Pelodiscus sinensis: one gene and its partner. The protein of the gene in region 2 interacts with the protein of the main gene of each other region in a pairwise test. Links are inferred from orthologs where the notes say so. Each region holds a gene or a part of one and is shown on either strand. Other genes may lie near its edges.

Evidence for each region. The genes of interacting proteins can lie anywhere in the genome.
Region 1: the proteins of RALGDS (region 2) and KRAS interact in a two-hybrid assay, tested with the Homo sapiens proteins (3 studies listed by BioGRID and IntAct). The link is inferred for Pelodiscus sinensis from reciprocal best matches to the Homo sapiens genes RALGDS and KRAS.

The regions. Positions count from the first base shown.
Region 1 is NC_134711.1:118,850,378-118,854,125, reverse strand, and holds the start of KRAS (GTPase KRas), read left to right. Parts: upstream 1-907; 5' UTR 908-915; intron 916-3,748. UniProt on the Homo sapiens protein: Ras proteins bind GDP/GTP and possess intrinsic GTPase activity. Plays an important role in the regulation of cell proliferation.
Region 2 is NC_134732.1:15,952,539-15,956,286, forward strand, and holds the start of RALGDS (ral guanine nucleotide dissociation stimulator), read right to left. Parts: upstream 2,379-3,748; 5' UTR 1,865-2,378; coding exon 1,679-1,864; intron 1-1,678. UniProt on the Homo sapiens protein: Functions as a guanine nucleotide exchange factor (GEF) activating either RalA or RalB GTPases and plays an important role in intracellular transport. Interacts and acts as an effector molecule for R-Ras, H-Ras, K-Ras, and Rap.

The DNA.
Region 1 (3,748 bases), on a different chromosome or scaffold from region 2:
GCCAGTTACATTGTAACCCTTTGAATTGATTTCAGAGAGCCTTTTACAAATCAGCAGCCTCATTGTCTCTGCTATGAAACTAGATAAGGACTTTACACTTATTCATATGTATATTGATTTTTTAACCATTTGTAACTCTTCTTTTTTCCCTTTATTAATAATTCTTAGATTTATTTATTAAGGATTAGCTAACAGTGTGATTTTAGAGAAGATCTGGGTTTGCTGTTGAACTTGAAGTGTCTGATCCTTTGGGACTGGCAGAACTTTATGTATGGTTAACAGGATTTCCAGTAACCTCTCACTATGTTAGACTTGGTTGTTTAGATGGGAGCCAAGGGCTGGAATGCCTAAAGAACACTGTGTTTGGCTTTGGTGGAGCTAGTTATAGAATAAACCCACTAGTTTTGGGGATTGTGTACCCCATTTCTTATAGTCTGCCCTAAGCGTGGTATTTTCAATGTGGCCCATCCATGCACCCCAGTCACAGTTATGGTTAACAACGCTTTATGGTGGAAAGGTGAACAGGTCTGATGAAGGGCCATGTAAAGTTGGTAAAGTCACCAGGATCACACTCTGTTCTAATTCCACATATACAACCTCCTGGGATAAGCTTGCCACTCTTTCTCCATTTCCACTTATAGCATTAATGAGGGTTACAATGTCTCCTATGCTGAGTCCATCTTTGAAAAACTAACTTTCTTCCTCAGCTTTAAAAATGAAGACAAGTTAATCATTTGTGAGATTGCAGGAAGCAAGGGGCAAACGCTGTTTGTGTGAATACAATGGTTTTCCGGCGGGAACAGCAAAAGGAAAAGTGAGATCTTATGTAGGAGTAAAGGCAGGCCTGGGCAAAATACAGCCCATGGGCCAGATCCCTTCCTCCAAGCCACTGGATCTGACCCGCGGAGGCAGCGGGGAGCCCCAGGCAGGCTCATGAGCTTGCCCCGCATTCCCGTGCGCTGTGCAGAAAAGTGGCTGCAGGGCTCCATTTTTGTTTTGAACCTGGAGGGGAGAAGGGAAGTTTTAGGAGCTGCACTGCCCCCAGCACATTCCCCTTGGCCAGTTTTTGGCAGAAACTGGCTAATGGGAGCTGCTTGTTAGACTAACAGGCAACTAAGAAGAATCACACCCCTCTCTTGGGCTCAGTTATTCATGAAGGTCATGGCCAGGCAGGCAGGCTGGCTGACTGGGAAACATTTTAAGCTCTGCAGGCAGGCAGGCAAGTTTGGCAGCTGACAAGTAAGTCTGTTGGCCACAGCCTGCTTCTGGCAACCCAGCCCTTTCCTGCCCAAAATCTCTGCCCCTCCCCCCCCCACTCAACATACCCAAACCCTCTGTTCCCCTCTTACACCCATACCCCCTTCCAGATCTGGCACCGCAATCTCCTGCCCCAGATCACAATCCCCTCCTACCTTAGGTCACATCCCAAACCCCTGCACTCTAGTCCCCTGCCCTAGGTCACAACCATCTCCTTCGCCCAAACTCCCTCCCAGACTCCAGTCTTCTTGCTGCACCCCAGTCCCTTACCCAAGCTCCCTTCTGCACCCAATCTCCATTCCAGACCCCTCATCTCCATTAATATCATGGAAGAGTGCGTTCCTTGACCACTTTCCAAAATCTTGGTGTGGCCCCCTGTCAAAAATTATTGCCCACCCCTGGGTAAAGGGCATAGGGGTGCTGGATGGACTTTTGGGGACAGGTTCAGACAAAAGCTGGCAGTCACTTCAGGTTTCTTTGGCCAGGGATTTTGAAACATAGATCCATTTCTGGGAAAACACATCTAGGTAACAAACCCATGATGTTAGCTTTTTGAAATAGTTTGCTTCTTAGGTTAGAACTGTAGTAGAAGTTCACTAAATCACACTTCACTAATCCTCGCACCCCATCATTTGCACACATTGGACTAGATTCTGATATTGCTTGTTGTTTTTTACATCAGTTTAACTCCATTGACTTCCGTGAAGTTGTTTTCATTTACATTGTGAGATCAGAATACCCAGCAATTTCTCCCTGTTTTTCAGCAATCATTTAACACCGTGGTCCCCAACACGGTGCCCACGGGCGCAATGGCGCCCGCGGGGGCATTTCCATGCGCCTGCCAGGTGCTCGGGGCTGGCCTGGCACCGGGCGCAGGGCAGGGGGAGCGCCGGCCCCGGGCGCGCGGCGCAGGGCGGGGGGAGCACCGGCCCCGGGCGCGCGGCACTGGGCGGGGGGAGCGCCGGCCCCGGGCGCGCGGCGCTGGGCGGGGGGAGCGCCGGCCCCGGGCATGCAGCTATGGGGGGGCGCCCCGGGCATGCGGCTATGGGGGGGGCCGCCCCCAGGGCGCAAGTGTCCCCGCCCCCTGGCGCCCGGCGGGCGAACGGCCCCGCCCCCTGGCACCCGGCAACCTTGAAAGGTTGGAGATCACTGATTTAACAGAAGCCTCTGGTGTGGGTCTCTGTTACTTTCACAACATTCACTATGGAACACTGATACTTCATTGTATACTATTATTAAAACTACAATGGTCAACCAAACAAATGCATTCTGTGATGTATTTTCCTTGATTTTTTTAACCCTGTTTGCTCATTTACTACTTAATTTGCTAAATTCAGTAATACTGTGACATGGATTACTCGGTCATTAGTGAAGTTCCATGTGACGTGACAATGTTAAGTCTACAAAGCTAATTTTCCATGTTTAATTTGTAATCCTAAAGCCTGTCACCTTAGAAAGGAGGTTATTAAATACACATGCACACACACTCAGTGTAGGCCTACTTTAGCATAGGCAAATTATCTGAATTTCATGCAGACTCAGCACTGAAGAGTGAGTGAGGCCAACATTTCCTTTGGGCAAGGCACTGAAAGGAAATTGGAGGAAGGTTGCACAATAAGTGAACCTTCAAAGGAAACATGGAGTTGGAGAAAGGACTGCAGGAGAGGGAGCACAGATTATAAAGAGAATGAGATTCAGAACTGATGAATTTATGAGAGTTAATGATGGACAGCTGTAGGTGAGCAAAGTGGGGTGGATCTTAAAATATATATTCTTGTGCCGGGGGGAAAAGAGTTGGAAGGAAAGAATGGATTGTGTTATGTGAGAATGGAGAAAATAAGTAAAGAGATTAATTGCATAGAAAAAGGGGAAAGTAGGGACAGGGAGACTGTGGATTTGGGAAAAGAAGTTGTGGATTTCAGGGATTAGGAGAAGTAGAAGGGAATGGTGAAGGAGAGAGAAATTTGGAATCATGGAGAAAAGAAAGTGAGGGAGAGAGAAGTAAAGAGAGAGAGACTTCAAAATATAGAAAGGGAGCAGTGGGAATGGAGATATTAACCATATAGCATGGGTTACAGAGACGTGAGGCTGCTTCTTTATATGTCTGTGTTTGGGCCTGGGAAATGTGAAAGGGCATTTAGTGCTTGGCTTTGTGTGTGTGGCATTTATGGGTAATTTAATATAATATCATTTGCCAATTGGCAAGTTATTCAGGTAAAGAATACCAGATATATACACAGTAAACATGTTAATTTAATATATAAAATGATTATATACAAGTGTCTTAAAATCTACTCTAACTGTACATTGTATTTTTAAAATTTCCAGAGAATGCCCTTCAGGACGCATTCTCCTCCTCCGCACCCCCATTCCTATTTAAGTTTGGTGATTCCTGATAGCTCCCCAAAGCCTCCCATTTCCTTTTGGCTAGCTATGGGCCTACTCAGGGCCATGAAACATCTGAAAGTAATTAAATGCTAATAATATTGGG
Region 2 (3,748 bases):
GTCCTAATGGAAATGGATCTTGTTCTGGTTTAAACCTCTTCTTCACCTCGGGAGCACAGGTGCATGCTTTAACTTCCTCTATCCAACCAATGGACAGAACCAGACAAAACGAACGAGCCAGCTGTGAAACGCAGCATTAGTTATCCAGGGATGGGTGGAAGTTTCCTGAACACATACACCACCTTGCACCAAAGTCACTATCCTAGCAGGTGAAGGGCACAATGCTCTTTTTGACCCAGAGAACTGAGAAGCAGTAGATGGGTATAGACCTGGCTTGCTGAGACATACCAAGAGATGCTTTGTGGGTCTCCAACATTGACCTGAGCACCTCATGTTCCCTTACTTATGCTATGCTGGGCTATGCAATCTCCCTTCCCTGAACTGCTCATTCGATTAGGGTTCCCCACGTTTTCCCAACTCCTTGCTGGCAAAAAGCAGGCTGCTTTGTGTGCCACTCATCCCCCTAGAAGGACAGCCGCAATTCCAACCAGCAAACCCGTGATCTGAAGCCAGCAAGAGCCACAGAGGGCCAGTGCGTCCTAGAAAGATCCAGGGTCGTGCCTTAGACTTAGAGTATGGCTGTTTTTCATCCTCCATTGAGTGTCTTACAAGCCAATCCCCACAGCGGGGGAGGATATTGCTTGGGTCCTTTTTTTGCAACTTGGGCAGGCCCGAAGCCTTCACAGGCAGCTAGAGTCTGAGCAGACGGTACAGCAAGCCTCCAGCAGGATGCCAGACTCTCAAATAAAATATTTAAAAGGCCCTGGTTCTAGCTCTCTGCTCCCTTCTGCTAGCTGCATCAGATGGCGCGCATCTCTCTGCTTTCTCCTAATAGATATTCCAGCTTGGCAGCAAGCCTGCCAGAAAGATAATGGCATAAGAGGGGAGTAAAGAGATCACAGAGGGCAGCTATTTACCATTCTGACATAAAAGCAAAAAGAACTGCCAGAATATTTTCGACTGTGCTCCTCTCCTTCCGGAGCAGCCTGCACCATATGCTTCAGTTTCCCGGTCCATGCCAGGGCTCAGCTTCTGGGCATCAGATGCACAACATAAACCAGCATCAGAAACCTGTTGGGCAGAGACCGTACAAACTCCTACCACCTGCAAACCAGCCTGGGGGACCCTATGCTGAGAAAAGGCAGCATGCCCATGCCCCGTGGTTACAGTGAGTAAAATGACACCACACACTCAATGATCACCTGCAACATAAATCAGCTAAGACCCCCCCTTCCTCCCAGTGTTTTAGCCATATGTCAACAACCCAAAAGCACCAAATCCAAGGGGAATCTGACCTCCATAAAGAGGGGGTCGCTTAGAGAAGAATGAAACACGAAGCCTGCACACAAATTGTGGGGCAGGGGCTCACACTGTCCAAACCAGCCTAATCAAGAGGCAGGCGGGCCACAGCCCCACCACCATGTGCTTTCGAACAGACCCCGAAATCTTTTGATTGACTTACAATTACTGGGGGGCCGAGGGGGGTTGTTTTTATTGTGTCTGGCCCTTGGCTATACCTTGCCCAGCACATTTGGACCTTGGCAAAGCGATGCCCGCTCTAGACTCAGCGGCTCCGCCAGACAGCTCCGCTGAGACCCAGCAGCTCACTGCACCAGTGATGTTCACCCACCCACGCACCCTGAGGCTCGCCCGGGGCCAGGTTCCGGCGCCGCCTCACCTCCAGCGGCGGCAGGTCGGGGTCGAGCTGGGTGAAGCTGTGCAGCACCACGGGGCTGCTGCTCTCGCCGGCCACCTCCAGCCTCACGCCGTCCCAGAGGCTCCTCGTCCGCCGCGAGCTCTCGAACATGTTCTCCGGGCTGCCCGCCTCGGCATGGCGCCGCTCCGCCCGCGCTCGGTTCACCATGGGAAGGCGCCGGGACGCGAGCCCCCCATGCGGACCCGGCGCGGCGCGGCTCTGCCTCGCTCCCCAGCCGCCGCGGCGTCCGCGCTCCTGGCTGCGCGCAGCGGGTTTGTCAAGCCCCGGGCAGCCCGCTCCCACCCACGCCGGGGAGCCGCGCTGCTGCGCCGGGAGCCGGCAAAGCCAGGCGCTGGACTGGCAGGGGAAGGGCAGCCGGAGCCGCGCTGACACTCCGGCAGGGGGCGGGGAAGGGAGGCGAGAGCTACACAGCGCCACGCCGGGGAGGTGGAGCGCGCGGCTCTCCAAAGCGCCGCTGTCAGGATCTCGCCCTCCCGGCTGCGGCACCCTCGGAAGCAGGGCCCTGGAGGGAGTCAGGCCCTTCCATGGGAGAGCTCGGCTCCCTGCGAAACCTGGCGGCAGCTCTTGAAAACCAGCCCCTCCAGCGGCAGGGAGCTCGAAATGGCAGAAACACACAGCCGCCTGCGCACAGCCAGAGGCAGGGCTGGTCTGCAACAGAAAAGCGCCCCCCTCGCCCCCGTCACTCAATTTATTTCAGTCCCAGAGGGGGCAGCCCTGCTAGTCTGTCTGTCAAAACAAGGAGGAGTCCTGTGGCATCTTAGAGACGAACCAAACTTGGGTTGGTAAAAACCACTTCGATGCCTGACCGTGATTTTTAGCCACAAAAGTGTATGTTCAGATACAGCTGTTAGTCTTTAAGGCTTCACAAGACTCTTCCTTGTTTAATCTATTTAAAATCAATCTAGTCCCAGCCGTACCAATCAGATAGATTCAGCCCCCCCCTCCCCCCCCCCCATGCCTGGCTGAAGCTGATTTAATTTAGGTTGGTAAATTATCAAATCAAATCAAGAAAACCAAGAAGATAAACTCCATAGAGCGGGGATTGTCTGTTGTCCATGTGCTTGTACAGGACCTAGCACAAGGAGGGTGGTGGTCTGCACCACCCAAGCTGAATAATAATAATAATTCTGTTTCTGAATACGCCTAAGTTTGATTTAGTTACATCACTGCCAGCTTTGTGCTACAGACGAGACTGCAGAGAGATTAACCCTTAGACAGCACCTTGTATGTTCAAAACACTGAATAGTCACATCTCTCCCTATAGTCCCTGCTTTGACCCGTGAAACTCCCATCTCTTTGCTGAAAAAGCTCCTGTCCCAAAGGGCTGGCTGGGCTTGGTCCCCATTCTGGGCATTGCAACCTGGTCCCTGGTGCCCAGGGTTTCAGTGCTGCGTAGGGAGCTGGGCACAGCCAGGCCCACAGGACAGCTGCTGAGAGGTGAATCCAGGACAGACCCACTGGGGCAGCGGATGACACACACACACACACGCCTTCCACCCCCAGGGGCCAAACATGTCCCACTTTGGCCACTGGAAATGCTGGGAGGCATACAATCTAACTACACACAGCTGCCCACCTATGAAGCAGGTCTTGGTCAGTACCATCATGTTCAGAAGAGGAAGGTGAGATACAAGGAGCTGAAGTAAATAGCCCAAGACCTCCCAGCAAACTAGTAACAGGACTGGGGCTTGCTTGGATCCTGCATGGCCATTCCTAGGGTCCCCCCTGCGCGCAGAAGGCCTGAGATCAAGGAGCTAAAGTGAAGACTCCCATGTAAAGGGGTTTACAGCAGAGCTGAATTTGGCTCAGTACAAGATTCACAGTGCCTGAGCCGGGAGGGGGTTGGAGCCTTCAAACAAGGGACGCTGAATCCACATATTGTAACTATTATAAGTACAAAGGGAACCAGGAAAAACAGTTCATTAGCTGTCACGGCTGCTAAAAGGTGCAATCCTGCAAACATGGAATTCTAATCCCAAATGGACTTTCATGTCTCAGTTTTCTGAACAGCTGAAAGAATATTAAACTCTC